Linked DNA regions of Tribolium castaneum. The protein of the gene in region 1 purifies or fractionates together with the protein of each later gene. This does not show direct contact. Links are inferred from orthologs where the notes say so. Each region holds a gene or a part of one and is shown in the gene's direction. Other genes may lie near its edges.

What was found.
Region 2: the proteins of Pex5 (region 1) and ACOX1 purify together in Homo sapiens (affinity purification with mass spectrometry; 3 studies listed by BioGRID, with this or other methods). This does not show direct contact. The link is inferred for Tribolium castaneum from reciprocal best matches to the Homo sapiens genes PEX5 and ACOX1.

The regions. Positions count from the first base shown.
Region 1 is NC_087395.1:23,158,759-23,171,502, reverse strand, and holds Pex5 (peroxisomal targeting signal 1 receptor), read left to right. Parts: upstream 1-5,525; 5' UTR 5,526-5,627; coding exon 5,628-5,817; intron 5,818-5,870; coding exon 5,871-6,004; intron 6,005-6,051; coding exon 6,052-6,243; intron 6,244-6,294; coding exon 6,295-6,451; intron 6,452-7,983; coding exon 7,984-8,512; intron 8,513-8,696; coding exon of another isoform or gene 8,697-8,700; coding exon 8,701-8,866; intron 8,867-8,913; coding exon 8,914-9,071; intron 9,072-9,119; coding exon 9,120-9,324; 3' UTR 9,325-9,389; downstream 9,390-12,744. Other genes in the region: ubiquitin-protein ligase E3B, read left to right, coding at 160-351, 404-839, 891-1,062, 1,112-1,230, 2,788-3,106, 3,159-3,722, 4,378-4,507, 4,554-4,718 and 2 more; RanBP3 (ran-binding protein 3), read right to left, coding at 9,806-9,922, 9,973-10,068, 10,202-11,013, 11,066-11,140, 11,261-11,279; cdm (importin-13), read left to right, coding at 11,741-11,893, 11,941-12,108, 12,152-12,304, 12,373-12,491, 12,544-12,681, 12,731-12,744.
Region 2 is NC_087403.1:4,257,710-4,270,243, forward strand, and holds ACOX1 (probable peroxisomal acyl-coenzyme A oxidase 1), read left to right. Parts: upstream 1-5,347; 5' UTR 5,348-5,483; coding exon 5,484-5,610; intron 5,611-6,163; coding exon 6,164-6,323; intron 6,324-6,643; coding exon 6,644-6,812; intron 6,813-6,863; coding exon 6,864-6,987; intron 6,988-7,038; coding exon 7,039-7,283; intron 7,284-7,331; coding exon 7,332-7,492; intron 7,493-7,541; coding exon 7,542-7,704; intron 7,705-7,751; coding exon 7,752-8,086; intron 8,087-8,132; coding exon 8,133-8,385; intron 8,386-8,442; coding exon 8,443-8,703; 3' UTR 8,704-8,848; downstream 8,849-12,534. Other genes in the region: kinesin-like protein KIF11-B, read left to right, coding at 1-150, 196-1,693, 1,742-1,912, 1,963-2,259; MAPk-Ak2 (MAP kinase-activated protein kinase 2), read right to left, coding at 3,489-3,713, 3,765-3,975, 4,024-4,099, 4,151-4,357, 4,407-4,471, 4,520-4,659, 4,709-4,861. UniProt on the Homo sapiens protein: Involved in the initial and rate-limiting step of peroxisomal beta-oxidation of straight-chain saturated and unsaturated very-long-chain fatty acids.

The DNA.
Region 1 (12,744 bases):
TTGGAAAAACTCGGTTTCTAGATGCAAAACATGGTAGAACAGATACACAAGTAATTTCAAATCGTCTTCGTTTTCTGCAGTTTTTGCACTATTGCCAACTTAATTTCAAAACCAAGAGCCACTTTGACCAGAAACAGTGATTAACTTTGTAATTTCTAGTGCATATCTACGATAAATAACCACAAATTGTTTTCAAAAAGCCTCGAACTGTTATCAAGCCAGCAGTCAATGCGAATCGTCTTCAACACCCTCGAAGGCAGCTACGCCCTTTGCCTCCTTGCAAACCTCCTCCAGTTGGCTTACATGGAACGAGACGCTGCCTTAAAAGACTTAAGTTTCCCAACTTTCACAGTACGGCCCCAAACCCCCCCAAGAACAACAAAAAATCTGTATCAAATTCCAGGTTGTTGTTACGGGTTTACTCGAAAGTTGCCAAAATTACGTAGTCAATAAACAATCCAACCTCACCCACTGGCACCCAGTGCTGGGTTGGTTCGCCCAGCCCATGGACCCAGCATTAAACGCGGCCATGCCGCACGTAAAAATCCAACTCAATCTCTTATGGAACTCACCGATTGTTCAAATTCTATTGGGCAATCTTTTACAACAACTTGTCCTAAATGTGGACTCGCCCCAGCCAAGCTCGAGTCCACAAAACATGAATTTCACTGGATCGAATTTTTTTAAGAAGGTTTTGGAATCTAGAGGCAACAAAACCAACACTCAGAAAAATTATCGCGCGCTGGGAAGTCCCGAAGTTCATCGAGTCGTGTTAGTGTGTTCGCTGTATCATACGGCTTTGAATACTTTGACTCAACTACAGTTGGATATTTTAACAGGTTTGGCGGCGAAAATGTTAGCAAATTGTGGAAGAAAAAATTGTATTTTAGGTTTGTGTTATCAGAATTCAATTTTGTACGATTTGTGGCTGTTCTTGTGCTCACTTGGACCAAATTGTGGGCTTAAAACGTTCCTAGATCATCTTGCAATTAACACAAAGTGCACAGCTCCCGAGTTTCAAATGTTGCAATTATTTTGTGATTGCATGACTCATTATGTAACGTAAGTGGCGTTTTTCTGCCCTAGAACGCAGGTAATGGGTTTATTTTAGGATTCTTGATGATGTGGAAATGTACGAGCAACAAAACCCGTTTAAATTAACCGACTTTATTGTTTTATCTTCGTTTTTAAACACGTTTCTGTACAAAGCCGTCTTAGGGAATTTATTTGGTAAGTATATTTACAAATTTCAAATCTTGTCCCTATTTTACTCATTGTTTCAAACTTAATTTAATTTTTACCAGAAATAGCAAGTTGGACAAACTATTTCAACAAAATTTTATTTATTGACAATGTCATAACTAAACTTAATTTCTTTTTTTTTGCTTATGTGGTCACTTTTTTTAAGTTATTACATACAATTTTTCAATAATTGCCTTAAAAATCACTACAGTCGTAGATCGTTAATGGTGTTATTTTTGAGCACGTTTTTAAATTAAAAACGGATTTTCGATAAAGCAAGGAAAAAATATTTTGCCTGTTCCAAGCGTTTCAGTGCATTTTCAGCCAAAAACGCATTTATTTCTAGAATTCTTTACAGAAATAAACTGATAAATCGTCGAAATGGATAAAAAATGATGTTATATTTTGGTCTTTTTTGCGTATTTAGTCAGGTTTTTGAGATACTCATTTTTTTGTAAAGAAAAAGATAAAGTTATGCGATTATTTCCTTCATTTTTGTCCAAAAAAAAACCAAAAAATTATCAGATTAGGTCGAAAATTATGTGGTTTTTGCCTATTTTTTGCTTCTTTTGAGCAAAATGTAGCACGTTTTTTGTAATTTAAAATTTAAATGTTTTTTAATCGAGTGTTTTCACCAGAAATGCGATTGTTTTGAGAAACTTCATCACAACTAGTTGATTATATGCCCTGTTGGGATGAAAGTGGTGCTATTTTTGTTTTGTTTGAACATTTTTTATTTATTATTTGAGCTAAAAGCAGAGTTTACATTATTTTTACATTTTCCGAAAGTTTTTTTTTAATCTGAAGCATATTTATTGCTCGAAGTTTGTCAAAAATGACACGAAATTAGGTCGAAGGTGGAATTATTTTTGTCCTTTTCGAGAAATTAACCACCTTTTTGAGTTAAAAATGCCACTTACCGAAAATTTTCTAAATTTTGTTATAAAGTACATAGGTCTTAATAGCCAATTTTCATTCTTTTTTTTTGAAGTTTTCAACTCGTTTTTCGGACAGAAACAGGTTTATTTTTTAAAACTCTCAAATGGAAATCGAACATGGTTTAATTTTGCCCTTTTTTCGAGCGTCTAAGTAAGTTTTTGAACTAAAGATTCAGTTATAACTCGTGATATTTTTCTAAACTTGGTAATGATTTGGTTAAACTTATCATTTTTTGGGTTTTCTGAATTATTTTTAGAAATTTCTGAACAGTAAACCAAAGACTACCAGAAAAAGTGGAAGATGGTATTTTAGATTTTTTGAGAAGGAAATCTCAATTTCCGAATTAGTTCTCAATTATGTAATAAACTACGTAATCTTTTGATACGTTTTTTTGGTCAAAAATGCGATTATTTTAACGAATTTCGTCAAAACTAACGCAATAAATGACCAAATTAGGTCGAAAGTTGTAGTATTTTTCCCTTTTTCGACTGTTTTTTTGGCAATAAAAGCTATTATTGCTCGAAATTTCCCAAAAATGAGTCAAAAAGTCACGAAATTAGGCCAAGAATGTTTGTTTTTTAAAACCATTATTTTGATTTTTTGCAGATTTAAAGACAATTCAGACCAACACGCTGTTCCAGTCCTTACACACTTTATTAATGTTGTTGTATCGGCGAGACTGTCGCAGAACGTACACTCCTCAAGGCCACTGGTTACTTAAAGATGTAAAAATATCGACATTTATGGCCGATCTAGAAAAGGGCCGAAAGGCCCCTCAATTGCTCCTCCAAACAATGCCACATATCATACCACACGAGGATAGAGTGCGACTATTTCGAAAATACATAACAAACGAAAAAACCGTTTTGGGTTTAACCGAGTCGGCTTGTGCCTCTCCCCAGTCGACTCTGATCACAGTTCACAGGTAAAAAAAACCACTCAATTTTCGTGTTTTTTTTTAACGAAAAACAATCCAGGTCTCGAATTGTTGAAGACGGCTATCGCCAACTGGCCCTCCTCCCGCCCCAAGCCCTTAAAGGCGTAATAAGGGTTCGTTTTATCAACGAGCAAGGTCTAGACGAGGCCGGGATTGATCAAGACGGCGTTTTTAAAGAGTTCCTTGAAGAGAGCATCAAACGTATTTTTGACCCCTCTCTAAATTTGTTTAAAGTAACAAGTGAGGAACGTTTGTACCCTTCGCCCACTTCATATTTGCAAGACAACCACTTGCAATTATTTGAATTTGTGGGCCGGATGCTGGGCAAAGCCGTCTATGAAGGAATTGTAGTCGATGTGCCTTTCGCTTCGTTTTTTCTAAGCCAGGTTTCAGGACAAACAGCTCAAGCTTTGTACAGTTGCGTCGATGAATTGCCGTCTTTGGACCCGGAGTTGTACAGAAGTTTAAGTTATGTGAAACATTACGATGGAGATGTTTCCGATTTAGACTTAACGTTTAGTTTAGACGAGGAATGCATGGGGAAGTTGGTCACGCATGAGTTGGTGGCGGGGGGCAAAGCCGTCCCCGTGACAAATGAGAACAAGTAATTATTTTGTTACTTTATTCACTTATTTTATTACTTTTGTGTTATTAATTCCTACTTTATTTGAAGTCCAGCTTTGGCACTTTTTGTTGTGATGCTTGGTTTTTGTACTTTATGTTCGTCCCCAAATTAGCTTCAATGATTTTATGCTCTACTTGAAAGTGGAGAAGTAATTATTATTTTGATTATGGCAGAGTGTTTTAATAAAGTTTTTTTGTTTCGAAGCAAAGAATCGTTTGTGAGGCATTTTTTTATTTTCGGAGTTTTTTTCAAAGGATAAATAATAATAATAATTAATAATAATAAAACTGAACATAGGATAATACAAATAATGTTATATGTATTCTGCAATGTTCAGTAAAATAAAATCCTTAGAGTATAATTTTTTCTAAGTGAGAACTTATAATACGGACGAAGTTTTTATGAATAATAAAGAAAGTTTGGTTTAGGAAAAGATAAAAAAAAGAAAATTCTTATTAGTGACCTTTTTATATGAAGATATTTAATGTATTTCCTTTGGAGTGTCAGACGTAAAAAGTCTTGTCTTTCTTTATATTTCATTTTTCAAATTTTTGTTTTTTCTGTTGAAATTACCATTTTTTCTCCTTTTTTCCACGAATATTTTTGTTTTAATTCCAATGAATTGTGCTTTTAGGATCAATTACATCCACTTGATGGCCCACTTCCGAATGCACGTGCAAATCAAGGACCAAACCAGCGCTTTCATTCGCGGCTTCCGCTCGATTATCAACCCCGACTGGTTGTCGCTCTTTTCAACACCTGAAGTGGGTTCAAACCGTTGAAAACGCTCTTTTAACAATAAATTTCCAGTTGCAACGCCTTATCTCGGGTGATAATGTCCCCTTAGACATGAAAGATTTGCGCAAACACACTCAGTATTACGGCGGTTTTCACGACTCGCACCGCGTGGTGGGTTGGCTGTGGGATATTTTAGAAAAGGATTTCACCGAGGAGGAGAAAGGAATGTTCCTAAAGGTGCCCCCCGTAATTTAAAGCCCAATTTTCCTAACTTAGGTAATTGCAGTTTGTGACAAGTTGTTCCAAACCGCCGCTTCTAGGCTTCGCTCATTTGGAGCCGCCCTTTTCGATTAGGTGTGTCGAAGTTGGCGATGATGAAGACACGGGAGACACGATCGGTATTTTTTTTGCAATTTGTTAGATTTTGGAAAAATCTGGAGGGGATTTCAGGAAGCGTCTTTCGGGGGTTTTTCACGATACGGAAAAAGGACCCACAGAATCGCTTACCGACGTCTTCCACTTGTTTCAATCTTTTGAAGCTGCCCAACTACCAAAAGAAAAGCACTTTGAGGGAGAAGCTGCGGTACGCTGTCACTTGCAACACTGGGTTTGAGTTGTCGTAATTGTTAGTGGAAATGGAATTTCGACATATGTGACACCCATATCAACCTTTTGTGTTTTAATATTACGATGATCCGTGTTTTTTTTCTCCAAGCCAAATATTTTATCAGATTAATTTATTTTAACCCAATTTGTTGACTATAATCACTTCCATGTTGTGATGTCTTTGTTGTATTTACTTATGTAATAAAATATATTTTAACGAGTTGTTTCACTCCCGGGGCTTCCCTCAATTTTTGGTGACTATGACATGTCACTATACGCACCAAGTTGGCGCCGCGTCAAGTCTTTTAAGCCAAACATTCGATCAGATTTACGTTATTTTAGCCAAATGTTGTGTTTAATTAACTAAATATTAGAAAAAAAGTTTTATTTATCAGTTATCACGTTTTTTGGTGATTGTGGCTTGCCACTGGTGCCGGTTGGCAGCCGTGCCAGTGGCCTTGTCAGTGTCACTTACGTCAATCTGGAATTTGTTTTGATAAAATGCACTTGGTTGTGTAAACTGGGCTAAAAACCGAAAAAATGGCATTTAACCCCTTGACCGAGGCCGAGTGCGGCCAGAAGAACCCCCTGGCCCGCCTGACGTCGCACCTGACCCACGATCATGCCTTCGCGGAGGCCCACGGGCATGCCTTCCCCAGCAGCTCGGACCAACTGGTCGAGCAGTTCCTGCAAGAGACGAAGTCGGTGCCCCAGAGCTTCCGGATGGACGGTAGGGCCCCCCCGTGCGTTAAAACCCCCGTAATTCACCTGTGACGCTTCCAGATTTGATGCGAGAAATGCACGAAATTGAGTCTCAAAGGTCGGCGCTGCCGCCAATTCCCGCCTCCACGATCAAGGACCAGATCCACGACGACGCCTGGGCGCAGCAGTACATCGACGACGGGAAAATCTTCAATGTAAATAGGCGCTGGTTGTGAGTTTTGCACTGTCATTTGTGTTCAAGGACAATGTGAACAGTGAGGCGATCTGGACGGAGATCCTCTCGCAGGAGCAGAACAATGCGGCTGTGGTGGACGACTGGGGCACTGATAATTTCCCAGAGATACTGCCAGGGCCCAGCAAGGTAAATGCCTCGCAGCAGAGCGCTCGGGAGTTTGTTGAGGCTGTTGATGACCCCAAATTTGTGTATTCGAAGGTCAGACGTTACGTCAGGGTTTGGGGACGGTAAATAATGAATAGGTTTCAGTTTATGAGATTCATGAAACAAGTCGGCGATGGTGATGTTAATTTGGAGGACGGGAGGCTGACGGAGGAAGAGGCGCAGTCCTGGAGCAAGGAGTTCCTCCAAAATAACAACGAAGCGGAGGCTGAAAAAGTCGCCAAAAAGTGGGAAAAGGATTACGGTAACCATCTTTTCCTTAAAAAGTTTTTATTTATTTTTTACAAAAATGTTAAAATCAGTAATAAACCAAAAGGCTTGAGCTAGGGTTTTGAGGTTTTGCAAATATTGGCGATTAAAAATTATCGATTATACAGAATAATATCATATATCTTAGGTAATGAAAAAAGACATCCAACTGAGTTAGAAATCGTTTTGATAAAAAATTGTTTAAGCCTTTTGTTACGAGATATAGCTGTTCAATTGTTAGATTTTTGAACTAAGTTTTTGAATGTAGTTAACATGATTACCTATCACTTTATACTTTCAGAACAAATTATCGATTTTTTTAATATATTATTACCAGAAAAAAAAATAGTACAAGGTAAGTAAAAACCAAAAAGCGAATTTTATTAAATTTCGAGATCATAAATTAAATAATTATCAAGGATTTAAATTAAACCAGTTTCTTTTTTTTTGTATTATTTTCTGTTTGTGTATTTGTTTTCCACATTTTATTCACATGAAATACAAAAAAGTTTAATTTCCTATGAAAATTTCATCTGGATTCAATTTTTATTTAATTGAAAAATACATTTTTTTAAATTAATTAATAGTTATTAATAGCGCTTTTATCTTTAAAATCTAGTTTTTATTTTAATTTTTATGTTCTTGACACTTGTTTACTTTCTTTTTGATAGTTTATTTATAAAAATAATAATAATAATAAATCAAAGCTTTTTATTAAATAAAATTGAACAATAATAAACAGATGAGAAGGCGCAGTCTAGCTTGAAGGTATTCAACTTACCTTCAAAGAAAAATTAACAGAAAATATAAAAAAATTAAATTAAAATAAAATAAACAATATAGAACTTGAATAAAAATAAAAATCGGAAATTACTTAAGAACTGAAAACTAAAAAGAAAAATCACTGCCAGTCTCTCAGGAACAAAGGCAAGAAGAAAGAATTCTTTAAGAAAATAAAAAAATACACAGGAAAAAATTCCTTTATGTTTATTATCAACATCACTTACCTAACTCAGTTGAGCAAAGTTAATTATTAAAAAGGAAATTTTTAATTTTACTCTCGAATGTAAGCATTGAATTTATTAAAACTTTCCGCTGTATTCGTTATTTGCTGTAATTACGTTGGAACCAAGCGTCATCCAAAAAAAAAAAAATCGCCGTACAAGTGTGCCATTAAAAAAATATTTTTTAATAACTCGAAACCTAAAAGAAATTTCAAAAAAAAATTCTTGAAAAATATCACATTTTAAAGTCCAAATAAATAAATACAGGCGAGTGATATAAAAAAGCTGTTTCTAAGATATGGATTTTTTGTTGTGATAACGCATTGTTAACAAACTTATCCGATTACACAACTGTGCAATTTTCGCTCAGTTTGTGAATAATGCTCTTATCCCACATGAATGTTAAATATTTAATATTAAGTTACAGAAGTCTTGATTTTTACGAGTGATATCAAGAAATTTTATTTGTTTTAATACAAAATGAATGATTAGGTCGAGAACTAGCCTTGAGCCCTAATTTCAGAAGACGATTTCAATTCCAAATACTGGAACAACCTCCAGGAAGAGCTCAAACAAACTCTAGAAGGCGCCGAATCTAGCGAAAACACTTGGGCGAGCGAATTCGACTCCTACTATACTGCCCCATACAACGACTATACCTTTACCGAAGAAAATCCCATGTTTGATATTCCTGACCCTTTACAAAGAGGCAAAAAACTGCTCGAAGACGGCGATCTGCCGTCGGCTGTTTTATGTTTCGAAGCGGCCGTAAAACAAGAGCCTGAAAACAGCGAAGCTTGGCTACTATTAGGCAAAACCCAAGCGGAAAACGAACAGGACTGTAATGCCATACCGGCATTGAAAAAGTGTATAGAACTGGAACCCAATAATTTAACGGCGCTCATGGCCTTGGCTGTCTGTTACACCAACGAGAGTTACTACAGTCAGGCTGCACAAATGTTGCTCAAATGGCTCACAAATAACCCGAAATATAGCGATCTGGTGCCACCCGATTTTCAACTAACTGGGCAAGTTACAAGCTTTTTACAGCCGTAAGTGAGGGGGCTGGCTTTGAGTGACTCTTTGTAAATATTAGTGCTAAGCTCAGCTTCTGTAATAACCTTTGTGCCTTCAAAGTTTCGGTCAAAGTGGCCGCGAAATTAAATTGGCAACATTTTATTTTAAGTGTTGCCAACTTAATTTAAAAATTCAAACCGCAATTAATTTTACGATTACATAGGAACCAGCAGCGATTCATCCAGGACTTATACATAAAAGCCGCTTTACGACAACCTGTGGATATTGATTACGAAGTACAGTGTGGTCTCGGCGTTTTGTTCAATTTATCTGGAGAGTACGAAAAGGCGGCTGATTGTTTCCGAGCCGCGCTGTCCGTAAAATACGACGTAATAACGGCACTGGTTTAGGGATTTTTGTTAAGTTGGTTTTGCAGGACGCCAAATTGTGGAACCGTTTGGGGGCGACGTTAGCCAACGGGTCCAAATCGGAGGAGGCTGTGGAGGCGTATCACCGCGCACTAGACCTAGAGCCTGGTTTTATACGAGCGCGGTATAATGTAGGAATAATTTGTATAAATTTAAGGGCCTATAGGTGACTTTATTTATTTGGAGTGTATTTTTTTTGAGAGGTGTTTTACAGGGAGGCCGCCGAACACTTTTTAACTGCTCTCAACCAACAGGCGAGGGGCAGGGACGTAAAAAATTCACCCGCAATGTCGCAGATGTCGGACACGATATGGTCCACGTTGCGAATGTGTATCTCTTTGTTGAATAAGGTGGAACTTAGGGCGGCAGTGGATAATCGGGACTTGGAAACGCTGAATAAGGCTTTCGATATTGTGTAGAATTGAGATTGTGCAGATTGTTATTTTTGTATGCCCCAAAAAATATACTGTTGGTCTTTTTACAAGTTTCATTGCTTATCTCTGTCCCCGTTAAAATCATTATCCCATTGTCTGTAACTTATTTAACCAGAACAACGGAAAATGATCATTTTTTGCCTTTTGTTTAGGTGTATGCAGTTGTAAGGGGTTTCACTGTAGTCATGTCAGCTTAATAATTGTTTGAATTAAATAGTTTCATTTTTGTGGGTAGCAAAAGGGCTTGTACTTTTTTCAAAGTTTTATTGCTTATCATTACAAAATATAACACATCCAATTAAATGATACTTTTAGATTTTAAATAACTAGAATCGATGAGCGTGACAAAACTTCTGTAAAAACGTTACTGTTTAAAGATTAAAACTTAATTTACATCACATTTGTAGTTTTATCAAAATGAACTCTGCACAATGGTACCGTGAAAATGTTTTATTTAGTAAACAATTTAATTGCCCCCTGAGTCTTTATCTACATTAAGTTTTTTATGTTTTTGGGCTGCTATTTCTTTCTGCACTCTAAGCTGGATCTGTGAGTACAGTTGTTTACTATCTTCAATACTAGCCTGAAACAAACGAGCAATAAAAAATTATTTAAAAAATCACTTTAATTCACCATTACGAGGAAAACTTTGATCACACCTTGCGGGTCCATCGCCGTGAACCGCACGCTTTTCTCACTAGCCTGTTCTACAGTCATTTCCGCCCAAATCTAAAAAATTACCGAAATTAACTAACCAGCTTTAATATATTTTAATGAAACCAGTTTTATTTTTTGATTAAAGACAAATGTGGAAAAATTTTGAAAAAATTCATAGGCCCGGGGAAATAACCTGGCCACTCACTTTGGTGTTCAGTATAACCCTCCAAATCCCCGTTGTCCGGAAAAGCAGCCGACTTTGCGCGTGCCCTTCGCCCTCAAAGTCGTTCAGCCTTAAAACCCCTCGGCCCCTCTCCTGCCAACTCCCAGACGCCTTATCAAACGCGAACAATTTACAATTAATGTTTAAAATATTCGTTTCGTTCTCTTCCCCCGTGATAATTTCCACCTCTTCGTACTTCCTCTTATTGGCCCTCGACTCCTCGTACTCCCTCGCCGACTCACTCAACGACTTCGTTTCTTTACTGGTAATGGTTCCATCAGTTTTGCCCTCACTCTTAATAGCGCTGCTAAAGAGCATTTCCGACGTCCCATTGGAATTTAAACTAGTCGAAGGTTTAGGTTCGTCCGCTTTCGCGTCACTGCCCACAACACGGTCCTGTAGGTTCTGTCCAAAAACGAAGGAAGTTGTCGAGAGGGTTGTGCTGGCCGTTGTTACAACCGGCTGAGTTGAGTTCGTTTTTGGTTCTGTTTGCACCAGTGGTACGAATTTTGGTGTTTCCCCGTTCAATTGAACAGTTTTGCTCTCTTCCTTGGCGCCATCATTTGTTGGTTTAGCAAACGGGTTCAGTCGACTCGGATTTAGAATAACAGCCGGTTTTGCGGAATTGTTAGCGTTGTTTAGACTCAACTGAGGAGGCTTCAAAATGCCACGCGTTGCCAATTTGTTTTGTGAAGTAGCGAACGGGTTTGTTGTAACACTTGTTACTGGAATTCTATCAGGAGTGCACGTTTTGAATTCTTCGTTCTTGGCGTTTTTCTCGTTGTCACCAGCTTCTGGAACGGGGCACGTGAAGCAAACACGAGCAAAGCGAAACGTTTGGGTTACCTGTTTTGTCTTCTTCCGCTGGTGCATCCACTTTCATTGTTATTGGGGGGTTAAGGCTACCACTATTGTCCAAATCTATAAAAGCGACAAAATCAAAACATGTACCTCGCACTAGCGCAAATCTAAACCAATTCTGACCGTTATCACAACACTGATAACAAAAATTGAAATTATATGTTTATTAAACAAACTCACTTTCTGTGGTATCCGCCATTTTTCTAATCAACCAGCTGCCAAAAGAGTGACGGCTGTCTATGCAACCAACACCACACGAAAAACACCCTTTTCCTTGCCCTTTTCCAGCCTTTGGATGATTTAAAATAATCAATAAACACCGTTTTAAACAACACTAAAAAAAATGTTGCGCTTAAACAATTTTATTAATTTTTTTCCAAAATTGTAATTTTTGGGTTGGCGACAGTGGGGGCGCCTTAACCTCGTCCAATTCGTAAATCGACAATTTGTGTTTTTTATCGTGGCAAAAAGTGCACAAAAACGCCCCATTTCCCAGTTGGTGTCAGCCCCCTTGGCCCCCAGCGCGTGTCGTAAGACTGCTGACGAGCGCGTATTTTTGACAGTTATCGACGTAACGCCGACTGTCACTCCGTAAAATGTAGCAAAAGTAAAAACAAACTCGTAATTAATTCGAAGATTTGGTTTAAATTCGCATCAAGCATGGAATACACGGCGGAAAATTTGGAAAAAGCCGTGACCTTATTTTACCGCACCGAAGCGGGGCAACAGGCGGAGGCCCACCAGTGGCTGACCGAGGCCCAGAATTCGCCCCAAGCGTGGAGCTTCGTGTGGGAGTTGTTGAGCCCCCATCGCGTAAGCCTAGTTTCGCGCCAGTGCGTAAAGTGAGCTTTGATTTGCAGAATTCCGAAGTGCAGTTCTTTGCTGCCACGACGCTCCATACGAAGCTGATGAAGCACTGGAATGAGGTGCCGGAGGATCATTACGAGCTGTTGAAGAAGCGCATTCTGGAGGCGATTATTAACTATGCCATGGGCCCCAAAATTGTCCTGAACCGGCTCTGCATTACTGTAAGTTACAAAGGGGGAAGCTTCGACTTATGGTCTGTTCCAGTTGTCGGCTTATATTATACACACTGTGCCGACGCATTGGCCCAATGCGTTTGAAGAGCTGGTTTCGAGTTTCCAGCCCCAGCACTTGCCCAACGTTGAGCCCGAAAGAGTCATTTGGATACTTTTAGAAATCCTGACTGTGATACCAGAAGAGGTAAGGGTTCGGAAATTGAGTTGGCAACACTTAAGTCACAGGCGACTTTGATCATGGTAATTTTTTAGTTTCAAAGCACGTTATTAGCAGTAAGCCAACGGATGAGGGTACGCACTGTCTTGCAAGACGTTTCGAAAGACATCCTTAAAGTGGTCGAGATGTGTCTCATGCCACTTCCAAGTGCCGGGTATTTACGCACTTTTAAATTAATTTCTTACAATTTTTCACACATCTTTTAGCTTCGATATGTTAAATTTGACGACGTATTTAAATGCGGCAAGATGTGCGTCTGCTTGGATACAGTTAGGCGGTTTAAATATTGACGATTGTACGTCAGTTATGAATCTTTTAATAAATTTGACGTGTTTCGCATATTGGTAAGTTCAGGAATCGATTTTGGAAATTTTCTCAGTTAAAATAATAAAGGAACAAGACGGATC
Region 2 (12,534 bases), on another chromosome or scaffold:
CCCGTTTGTTGGGATGATCCCAAGGGCTGCTGTTGATATTCTCGATAAGCTGTCTCAGTTAGGGGTTGAGTGTGTCGTTACTGCATCCTTTGTTGAGTTATACAATGAAGAAATCCGTGACCTTGTGGTTAATGACAATTCTGGCTTGAGGTAAAAATTGAATGGTTGTGGTTTTTGCTCATTTGTCCGATTTAGCGTCCATGATGATCCGAATTACAAGGGGGTGACACGTGTTAAGGGTGTGACGGAGATTCGAGTAAAAAATTGCACTGAACTGTTTGAAATGTTAATGGTTGGAGCGAATAATCGTAGCGAGCCAAGTTTACATTGTCACACAATTTTCACCATTGGTGTTACGATTTTCGAATCATTTAAGGGTGAAAAGATAGTTAAAACTGGCCGAATTCACTTGATTGATTTAGCTGGAAGTAATTTCCTTGCATCGTGTGGTGCGTTAGTCATTAATAAGGCGCTTCAAACTTTCAAAACAGTGATTCAAGCCCTCGCTTCTGAATCTAAACATGTTCCCATGAGAGACTCAAAACTGACCCGAGTTTTGCAAGACTGCCTCAACGGCAAAGGCAATACTTCGATTATTGCAACAATTTCACCCTGTAGTGACGCATTTGAAGACACAGTCACTACTTTGGACTACGTGCAAATGGCGCGAGGCGTCTCCACTAACCCGGTCCCCAACGTAATAAACATACGCAGAGATGATGAAGTGAAGAATTTAGAAGACGAAGTTAGTTCTCTACGCCGGGATTTAGGCACAGCCGGGTCTTTCAGAGCGGAGATCGAAAACTACGCAAAGTTGATGGAACTTAAAGTAAACCATGAAAAAGCCGTCGCACTTACGGCGGAAATAACAAAATTAGAGGGCGTATGTGAGCACCAAAAGTATTATCCTGATACCGGAGAGTTGGCGCAAGAAACAACCCAAAAATGTGAACCCCAGGCCGAGGCAAAGAATGCGGAAATTGCCACAGAAATGGTCCACGTTTCTTTCGAAGCCTTGAGCGGGGTTGAGTTCGCTGTCGAACTCTTCCAAAACGATGAGAGATCGAATTTGTCTGATATAGCCACAAATAATGAGAAGGTTAGAGAGGTCACATTTATGAATTTGGGACGCTTGAGGACTATCCTAAGCAATGTTTGCGCATTTGCCGATTCGCTAAAATGCACGTTGGACTCTTTGTTGAGCGCGTCGGAGTTCACCGAAACTAGCGCCAGGGCGAATTTAACGACCATGCATATCGAGAATCATTCAATCTTGGCTGATAATTATCACAGAGTGAAAGCAACTCTGTGCAAACTTCAAGGTTATATAGAATCTACCAAAACATCATTGGCGGAGGCAACGTTTCAGTATGAGGACGATGTCGGGATGCAGTACTCCTTACTGAGCGACATGTACGAGAGATTCTACACGCTACTGACTAATTTACATGCAACCATGCAAAAACGTTACTTGCGAATTCAACATTTAATGAGCCTCAGTAATCAAAGACTGCTATTGTTGGACAAGATAACTAAGAATTTTCTTAACACCCAAGAGGATTTGACTTTGGAATTGGAGACCATGTGCTACATAAGGGGGTATGCTGGTCAACTGACCGAATTGTTGCAGGAAAAAGCTCCAGGAATCGACAATAAGTTAATTACGCTTTTTACTAAGTTCAATCAGGAGACTGTAAGGTTTTAACCATAAATTGCTTTGGTTGTTTACATTTTTTTGTAGGCACATCTTCATTTGATTTCGCTTCAGAGAAGATTTGAGGCGGCTAAAGAAGAAATTCAGCAAAGCCAAACAGTTTGCTTGGAGGAAGTTGCTCAAAATCACAGCCGACATCAAGACTACTTTCGTAGTTTCTTTGATGCTATTAGAAGAGGTGTAGCGACTCATAATGAGGTACGGATTATTGATTTTGAGTGATTTTGCCTAAAGATTTCGTGTTGTAGGGAGTTGTTGCGACCAGGGATGGTTTGTCATTTGAAGCTTACATGATGGTAAGCCATCAATATAATATGACTGTGGACCGCACCTCACAGATCTCAAACTCACTTGATGACATGTTCTCGAACGCAAAGGATTTAACTTCGGAGATGGAAGATATTTCTACTGAAACCGTTGCTAAACTCAAACAGTTGTCAGAAAAAGTTACGGTTAATTCTCCGAAAGAAAAGAAAGAAGTTAAGAAGACTCTCCTGCAGGAGAAGCAAGATAATTCAAACGAGCCACCGAATGAAAATCAGTAATCCGTACTGATTTAATCGTTCTGCTAGTTTTAGGTTGTTACGTTACTTTTTTTTTATTTATTTGTAATGAAACAAGTTTTGCTGTTTGTGTTTGCAAAACTTGCTAGTCGAATTGGTGAAGTTATAACTCTCACCAATAGTACTCAAAGAGTATTAGAAGTTCTTACCGGAGAACTTTCGCCTTTTGATATTTATGTGCAATGAAACGATTTTGCTAAGACTAGATACATTTCAGTCAAGGTAAAAAAGTGATGGTAGTTTCGCTGATTGGTCTAAAGCTTTAAACGATACCTAGTCAAATGTTTCACTGTGCAAACCTTAGTATTATATTGTTTTTGGTGTTAATGTTCCTTCTTGCAATGTTCCGTATGTTTTTTTAAAACATACCAATTAAACCAAAGTTGAAAATGTGTTAAATATAGCTTTGCCGCTTGTTTCGCAAGCTATAAATCCTAACTAGTCTAACTAGAAGTTGAAAATGTTACCATTATATTTGAATTTCTTAATATTATATTGTTCATGATGTTCTGTTCCATGTTTGTAATGTTCTGATTGTGTTTGGACTTACAAATAAACTTAAAAAAAACATTTTTTTTTATTTTGTCTATTTAATTTAGTGCGATATTATAAAATTTAAAACGAAGCTATACGTCCAATTTCTTTCATTTTATTATTTTCTTAAAAAAAAGTAGAAAAACACTGCGTCTTATTTATAAGACAAACTCGTATCGTAACCTTGCAACTGAAAAAATTGAGTACATAGAGTTATCGTTAGGAACAATTTAAGTAACTTTATTAAGAGTTTATTAGCAATTTACATTAAAATAGCACTCATCATGTGCTAGTAAATCGTGAAAATGATTTACGTTTTTTCTAAAAAAATATTTAAATCAAGATGCTTATGAAATCGAAATGTCTGATAAATTTTGTAGTAAATTTTTAATCAACAGTGACACTTCTCTTGAACAGGAAATTCCAAAAGCACCTTCAATCGTAGCATATAATACATTTTCTTAACATTATGTTGTTGCACCGTGTGTTGTATTACTATTACCAAATAATAGTACTACAAACGGTGTAATACAACTGTAACTAAATTAATACAATTTTAAAACGTTAAAATCCTATTCCATTAGGCACTAATCATTCAGCTAAAATCGATTTGTTTGTAAACATATTAATCAAAATGCACGTTCCGTGGTGATTTGAAGAAATAAAATCACTAGACGTTATTTCTGCTCCTTTAGCGTCACTTGATTCGCCGAACGCTTACGCCTTTTATTCAGCAGCGGGTTATTTGAATTTTCTAGCGTTTTTATATGCACTTGGTCATAATCCACTCTCATTGTGGCCAACGAGCGCGTCATTTCCTCCTGTACTTCAGGCCACATCTCTTCACCTTCTTTTAGCATTTTATGAGTATGCAAGGGGGTTTGAGGCACAGCTGTGTATTGCTAGAAAAATGAAAATAAAAGGTGGACCCTTGGACTAAAACAGTCATTTACAGCAATCCATCTATTGCTCATGACTTGATCAATTGTCAGTCGCTTGGCCGGATCCACGTTAAGCATACCATTAATAAGGTCTTTAGCGTCTTGACTAACATTTTGCCACTCAGGATTAGGGAATGTGTATTGGCCCATTCGTATCCTATTTTTCATTCCTGGCGAAATCGCCAAGCCATGATTGCTATAAAATGGAGGGAACCCGCACAACCTGTCTCAATCACTTAGTACAACTCTTAACAAAATTACTTATACGCACAAAATGTACATAATGACTCCTAAAGACCAAACATCACAGCTCTTATCGTATTTCTCAGGCCCTAAAACTTCAGGAGCTGGAAATAATTAGTAAGATTGGGAGCCAATTGATTGGGGAGTTAACGAACCAACATAATATGGTGTATAACAAGGCGTCTGAAGGGTGTCCTTCACTAAAGTTTCCTTAGCAAAGCCGAAATCAGTTAACTTAAGTATACCGTAAGTACCTTTCTTTGAGTAAAGTAAATTCTCTGGTTTTAAGTCCCTGTGTGCAATGTTATTATCGTGTAGGTATTTCACCGCAATGCATATCTCATGCATGATCTGTGCCGCCTCTTAAATTAATAAACGTGTCATTTATCGAACTATTACCCAAACGCATACCTCTCTCAGTGAAAGCCCCGTCAGGTTTATCCTGAATCCGCTGGAACAGCTCTCCGCCCTCCATGCTACAACAAAGGAACTTACTCCCGAATTAGTAAAAACCGCGCACACACCATTCCATCACAACTAGTAAACAAGGGTTGTTATTGTATTTATTCTCATAGACGTCGATTATATTGACTATGTGGCGGCAGCCACTGGCTTGCCAATGCAAATCGACCTCCCTTCTAGCCTTCTGGCTCTCGACAAGTATCTGAAACGTTCAATTGACAAACTGCATTGAGCAACTTACAACAGCGCACCTTTAGAGCGAACTTCTCTTTTGTAGCCTTAGAAAAACACTCGACGACTTTACCGTTGATCCCGAGGCCTAAAACCGTCTTAGTAATGTCGTAATCGTCAGTAATTGGCGTTTTCTTCGGTGTCCTGTGACTTTGCCGCATCTCCCTATTCATTTTTTACTTCTTTTGATTTCAACCAAACATTTATTTACAAGTCCACATTTATTCATCAAACAATCCGAAAATTTTTGTTTACTTAGGGTACATAACCAATAAAGGAATCATAAGGATGTGACATAATTTGCACAAAAAACGACGCATCTGCGCATTCGCCCCTGGCTCCTGACACGTCGCTGGCCATGAAATTCAAACATTTTAGTGGACTTCAATTACCAAAAACGAAACTAATTCATAAAAAAATTAATTACATAGTCAAATGAGCAATAAGAGTGCAAAGTATACTTCTAGTCACCTGAGCCACAGCAAACTATACTCATTTGTTTGGCTTAAGTGCGATCTTAGACTTGGTAGAGGGAGAGGGACGTGTCGTTTGGACGCCCCGTCTCTTTCTAGCTTGCTGGGCGCCCAATTACGCTCTCTCTTTCTCTGGTTAAGAAGTCTGAGGTGACGAGTTTGTTGGGTGAAATATCATGCGCCCTCTGTAGGCAGGAGTGGCAGTGGTGGCAATAGATTTATGATTAATTACCGTGTGTAGTGATGTGGTAGTACTGTCATAGAGTGTCGGTGATAGTGGTTCAAAGTATAATCTTTTGTTTATTTTGTGTATTTAACGAAAATGGACAGAAAAAAATCAGTAAATCCTGATCTCATTAAAGAGAGAGAAAAATGTACATTCAATACTCTAGAACTGACACACTTACTGGATGGCAGTGCTACAAAAACAGAGGAGAGACACAGTAGAGGTATGAACTTTGCTCTTCTTAACGACAAATTAATTATATCATCAATGACTTCTCGAGAAATCGATCGAAAAAATTAAGCACAAAATTCCAATGACACCTGCAAAGCCAGTTGTTCTCATTGGATTGGTTCCTGATTGCAGAAGAACCAGTCTTTTTGAAATATTTAAGTCAGGTTTTGTAATTTTTTAATGTCAAGTTATCTGTAAAACATGCTTAAACACCTTACACCTTGCCGTCGAAATTGGAAAAAATAGTCAAATGTAATAAACTGCAATTTGTACCAATTCAGTTTGGGGGAAATACTGCTATAGGTCATCGGGTCACGTCGGCTATTTACGAAGGGCGCGAACTTCGAATCGCCGAACGCTTTTAACGTTGTTACCTGCCGTGTGCAACCGATAAATGACTGTTCTCCCGATTAAATAACTAATAATAGTACGTGCTTTCACAAGAGAGAGCAACTTTCTAATTTCGCTTCCATGTAATTAAGTAACGAGTGGGTCCCGCCATTGTGGGCAATTAAAATTTTGTTAATTAGCCCCGTAATTTTCAGAAAAATTTTTCCTCGAAGACCCGGAGCTACAATCGAACGTCCCACTGGAGTATTTAAGTCACAAGGAGAAATATGAAGATGCCGTACGAAAAGCTTGTATTATTTTCCGAAAAGTACAAGAGCTCCAGAACCAAGGCAAAGGCGGTATGGACAATTTCAGGTATGGAAGGTTCCGACCGTCTCGACGCCGAATCAAATGCATTTATCTAATCACAATCATTGTCAGATTTATTGAAGCAACTAATTTTAATACAGTGGAGAATTCGCTTCATCATTGCGTTATCTGCAAGCGTTGCGAACTTTGCCGTGTAATTTTATAGATATCTGAAACAACTTTGTTTGTTTCATTTTTTTGGGTTCATGACGCAACTTTATTACATTTGAGTCATGAATATGTAAGAAGGTTGTTTTTTAAAGCCCGATTGGCTTGTAAATTTAAACAAATGAGAGTAGTTTCCACGATTCCAAATCGCTTTGCAGAGAAATTTTGGGTGGTCAGCTAGGCTCTGCCATTTTAAAAGACGGCAATCCATTGACGCTGCACTATGTTATGTTTATCCCGACGCTGATGGGACAGGGAACGTTTGACCAACAAGCCGAATGGATCCAAAGGGCATGGAATTGTGATATTATAGGAACTTACGCACAAGTAATTATCCTATAATATACGCAACTTTTATTGTCTTATAATATATTATAGACTGAATTAGGTCATGGCACATTTATCAGAGGTCTTGAAACCACAGCCACCTACGATCCCGCGACAGAGGAATTTGTTTTGCACAGTCCAACCCTCACTTCGTACAAATGGTGGCCGGGAGGATGTAAAAAAGTAAAAAAAAATCCAAAAAATTAGCTTGACTGTAATTTTGTAGTGGGCCATTCCGCGAATTACGCAGTTGTGGTGGCCCAACTGTACACAAAAGGCACTTGCCACGGAATCCACCCTTTTATAGTCCAGCTTCGTGATGAGGAAACGCACGAGCCTTTACCAGGCATTAAAATCGGAGAAATTGGCTGCAAACTTGGCATGAACAGTACCAACAACGGCTACCTGGGTTTTGACAACGTCAGAATACCCAGGATTAACATGTTAATGAAAAATAGTCAAGTTTTACCTGTAAGTAACATTATTAGCTTCGATTTTTTTACATGGGAATATCGTTAGGATGGCACTTACGTTAAATCGCCCAGTAGTAAGCTAACTTACGGAACAATGATTTTCGTCCGAGTTGTGATAGTACAGGATGCCGCACACTACTTGCGAAAGGCTGTAACCATAGCAACACGCTACAGCGCCGTTCGCCACCAATCACAAATCAAACCCGAGTAAGTCGCCAAAAAAGCCTACTTGTTCATTTTGTCTGTGGTGTTTCAGTGCACCCGAGCCCCAAATAATCGATTTCGTGACGCAACAGTATAAGTTATTCCCGCACATCGCCACTTATTTTGCATTCCAGTATAGTGCCTCTTGGCTGTGGGACATTTACAACAATGTCACCAACGAGCTGGAGTCCGGTCAGCTCGAGAGTTTGCCTGAAGTAAGTTTTCTTGAGCCACTTTAGTCCGTTGAGTAGCGCATTTTAAGCTCCACGCTATTGCCTGTTGCCTTAAAGCTGTGAGCAGTGCCGATGCAGCCCAGGGTGTGGAAATTTGCCGGTTGGCCTGTGGGGGCCACGGCTACATGACCTCGTCCAACCTGCCCTCAACTTACGGCCTAGTGACGGCAATGTGCACTTACGAGGGCGAAAACACCGTACTTCTGTTGCAAACATCACGTTTTCTTATAAAGTCGTGGCAGAATCGTAACAAATTGGATAAGTTGGCGACTGTGGCGTACTTGGGCCGCAAAATGAGCAAAAGTAACCCGTTTGAAAAGTCAGTTGAGTGGATTATACACGCACTGCAGCAAACTGCGGCAAGGTGGGTGTTAATGTGGTTACTGAAGGTTTGCTAAATTTGATTGTAGTAAAATTGAACTGGCAAATAACCGTATAAATGCCCGGGTGCGCAATGGAAAGTCGTACGAAGATGCCTGGAATGAAACTTCGATTGAGTTGGTGGCGGCTGCCGAAGCTCACTGTCGGTGTTTTATTGTTACAACGTTTTACAACACTGTTAACGGTTTGAACGTCTCTAAAGAGCTCAAAACTGTTCTGGTACAACTTTTGAACTTGTATGGCGTTTATACGGCCCTTAGATTAACAGGGGATCTTTTTAGAGTAAGTATTTTTTTTTAATTGGCGCAGTCGGTAGGTAATACTCTACGTAATGTTTAGTTCACGAATATCACCGGACAAGATGTGGAGACACTCCAGGACTGGCTGGAAGAACTCTTGGCCCTTATACGCCCCAATGCAGTGGGAATAGTTGATAGTTTTGACATTCGTGACGAAGTTCTAGGGTCTACCTTGGGAGCTTATGACGGAAACGTGTACGAAAGACTGTATGAAGAAGCATCCAAAAGTCCACTCAATTCCGAGCCAGTTAACAAGTCATTCAAATCGTACTTAAAACCTTTCATGAAATCGAACTTGTAAATTTTGAAAAAATATTTAGGATAGCTTTGGAATAGGGGACCAGCGGTAGTTAATTGTATGAACAAAGTCAAAGTTGTGATTGGTGTTTGTCTTGTAAAAATGTTGAGAGTCATTATGTTTGTTAATAAAAAATTAAACATTGAAAGTCTTTTATTCTTTTCTCCAAAACTATAACTATACACAAATTTGCTAGAGTGAGTTTAAAATTTCGAACCCCGGATCAGGTGTAACAATTTTTCTATGAAAAAAAGTGTAGAAAAGGTAAGTAAAACAACACGCAAATAAAAATGAGAGATTGAAAGAACACATAGACGAATAAACGTAAATCGGAGCATAAAACTGAGAGAAATAAGAAAATAATGCGGCAAAAATGTAAAAGTACGTAAAGGCGCTAAATTGTAAACGTACTTTTTGTTTTGAGAGAAAAAAAGACGAACGTAAAGGCGAAATATAACTTCAAACTTTAGTTGACTTATACGCCCGGTATGTTTTGATGGAATCTGATGAAAAATTAGAGAATTAAATTGAAAAAAGTTAAACAAAATGCTTTCTCGAGCTAATTCGCCGACTTTTGAACTAAATGTATTTGCATTTTAGGAGAATTATTGCAATTATATAGTTAGTAATGTTGATTTAATTAAAAAGTTTGTGTTAAAATATCTGCAAAAGACGGTCAGTACCTAGGGCCTCGTGGCCCAGTGGTATAAGCGCCACTTTCGGCGGGGGAGGTCGGGTGTTCGCACCCGGATCACGGCAACAATTTTTCTATGAAAAAAAGTGTAGAAAAGGTAAGTGAAACAACACCTAAACAAAAATAAGAGATTGAGTAAACACATAGACGAATAAACGTAAAGCAGAGCATAAAACTGAGAGAAATAAGAAAATAATGCGGCAAAAATGTAAAAGTACGTAAAGGCCCCAAATTGTAAACGTACTTTTTGTTTTGAGAGAAAAAAAGATTAACGTAAAGGTGAAATATAACTTCAAACTTTAGTTGACTTATACGCCCGGTATGTTTTGATGAAATCTGATGAAAAATTAGAGAATTAAATTGAAAAAAGTAGAACAAAATGCTTTCTCGAGCTAATTCGCCGACTTTTGAACTAAATGTATTTGCATTTTAGGAGAATTATTGCAATTATGTAGTTACCCGGATCACGGCAACAATTTTTCTATGAAATAAAAGTGTAGAAAATGTAAGTGAAACAACACGTAAACAAAAATAAGAGATTGATAGAACACATGGACGTATAAATGTAAAGCATAAAACTGACAGAAATAAGAAAATAATGAGGCAAAAGGTTGTAACATTGCGTAAAGGCGCCGGGGAATCGATTGGCACCAAGAAAATTGCCAATATCCCAATAGTTTTTTAGTTATGAATTTTTTAAAATTACATTTATCTGCAATTTTCTCGAAAACTATTAGTCGGAACCGTTGCCCGGAGCGACTCCGGGTTTAATGATTTTTTGTTTGTTCCTGTAGTCTTACAGTTTCCGAGAAAAACGCAAAAATTGTTTCCATTTTGCGTTATTCCATTCCAGATATTAAGAAAACCATCGATGTATTAGGTCCAAAATGGAACCGCTAAGTATCTGTTCATTCATAGACTACTAAACATTTTTGAAGGAAATTAATAGCTATTTACACTCGAATGCGGTAAGTCACATTTTACAGCGTGACAACTTTGTTTGAGGCACGAGCCTGAAAGGCGAGTGCCTTATTAGTTGAAGCGCTGTAAAATGACTTAACGCATGAGATTTGTATAAAACTTTTTGGCCGACAAGCTTTTAATATTATTCTTTATAAAATAAATAAAAACTCAAAGTCACTTAAACATAGTAGGCTTTGGCCGCCATGTTAAACAACTGAAACAGTTTGACAGTTGTTAAATTTGTGAAAATCAAGCGACGATTTCAAATTTAATTATATCACAAATCACGTTTATATCTATCAACCATTATCAACCAAGATGAGCGACAGTGGTGAAAGTGATAGTTTCACCGCTACACCTCCGGAAATAAGGCAACTTGCAGAGGGTGCTACAAAACAATTATTGCCTGAAAAATCGAAGACAAGGTACGAGGCGCAATATAGTACGTTTAAAGATTGGTGCAAAATAAAAAATGTGAAAAAAAATGTAAAATTTGTGGTTCCCAAACGTATGTATAGGTGGCGCTGCTCCGGGGGATTTATATTTTCACTAATTAAATATACACCATGGTCGATTGAATTAAATAATTATAGGTAACAAGTATTTCGTTATACGAACTTAATTATGGTAAGCACGGTTTGTATCTTAAACATGTCTAATCGCAGTGTGAGGAAACTTTATGGGCGAAGGTTAATGCATGGGCGCGCGCTTGCAGTCAGATAAACCTTTAAATCGAAATGTTGTGGAATAGCTTACATTGTTGATATAAGTTAGGAAAGAGTATTAAAAAATGTTTAGACAAAGAATTTTTTGTTTCAACCCTCGCGAAGGGGCTGAAAAGACGTTTTAGCTAAAAATTTGCAAACACCTAAAATTGGACACATTTTGCGTTTACATACTCATATCTTCCTTCTGGATAAAGCTAGAAACTCCGTTTTTTTTGCAAACAAATTTTCAATAAATGCAGATTTATATGTAGTTTAACAAGGTTGAGTTTTGATAAAGGGAAACCAAAAAAATTACATTTTCTTGTAACGTTGTATAATTGTGTAGTGAAATTTTCGAGATGCGAGAAAGTTTTTTAATTTAAAAGATAGACTCCCACATAATCGAGACGAAATAAAGCTAATACTTGAAATAAATTTTTGGTGCAAGAATCATTTCGTTATCTGTAAGACTCACCAAGTTATTGCAATTTAAAATTACTGCAAAATGCGCCTGAGGTGAAACCGAACTGTATTTCCCTCTGAAGCGTGTTCATCGCCTTTGATAACATTTCGAGAGCTAAAAATCGTAATTCGTAAATAATTAAAAAATAATTAATGTCACTTATCTATTAATATTATACCTTTATTTTTAACCGCCCTAACTCTCTGTTAATTTTAATAATATCTAAAAAGTCAAAAGAACATTTTTATCTCATGTACTTATTTAAAAAGCATAAAAGCGACCTAGTAGAACTAAATTACGAAATTGTAATTCATTTTAAAGTATTCTTTGGTGTGACATTAATATTTTTTTAATTATTTACCATTTTTAGCTCTTGAAATGTTTTCAACCACACCACGTTTCAAAGGGAAATACGCTGCGATTTCACCCCGAGCACATTTTGTAGATAACTAAATAATCCTTCTTTAAAGTCCTTTTTAAAAAAATATACAAATCGTAACGTTTCTGACGAATCAACCGGTAACATTAATTGTATAAACCCCCTAGTAAACTACGCCAATGCAAGCGCTATAACGGACCATTTCATCGATAAATATGAACATCGCGAGAGCGCTATGACGAGTCAGCTGATCGGTTGTGGCCTCATGGCCACCCCATAAAATTTCCTCACACTGCTAATCGTCCAGTGTTTTGTGGTTACTTTACCTAATTGTTTGCTACCAGTTTACAGCATCGTGTTTAAAGGTCAAGTTACCTTTCATGAATGGGCAACTGTCATTCACGTTTTACAGTACTGGAGGCCAAAAAAGATTTTAAAATAAGTAGTTATTAGGTAGATGGGAATTTACATGTTTAAAAAAAAATGTGATATTAATGTCTACTTGCTTTATTAATTATTCTAGACACTAAGGTTTTTCATAAAATTACAAAATTCAATATCCAGCTTCTTGCATTTACAATTGTCAACAGTGAACTGTACACGATACTTCAACGGAAATCCGATCAAT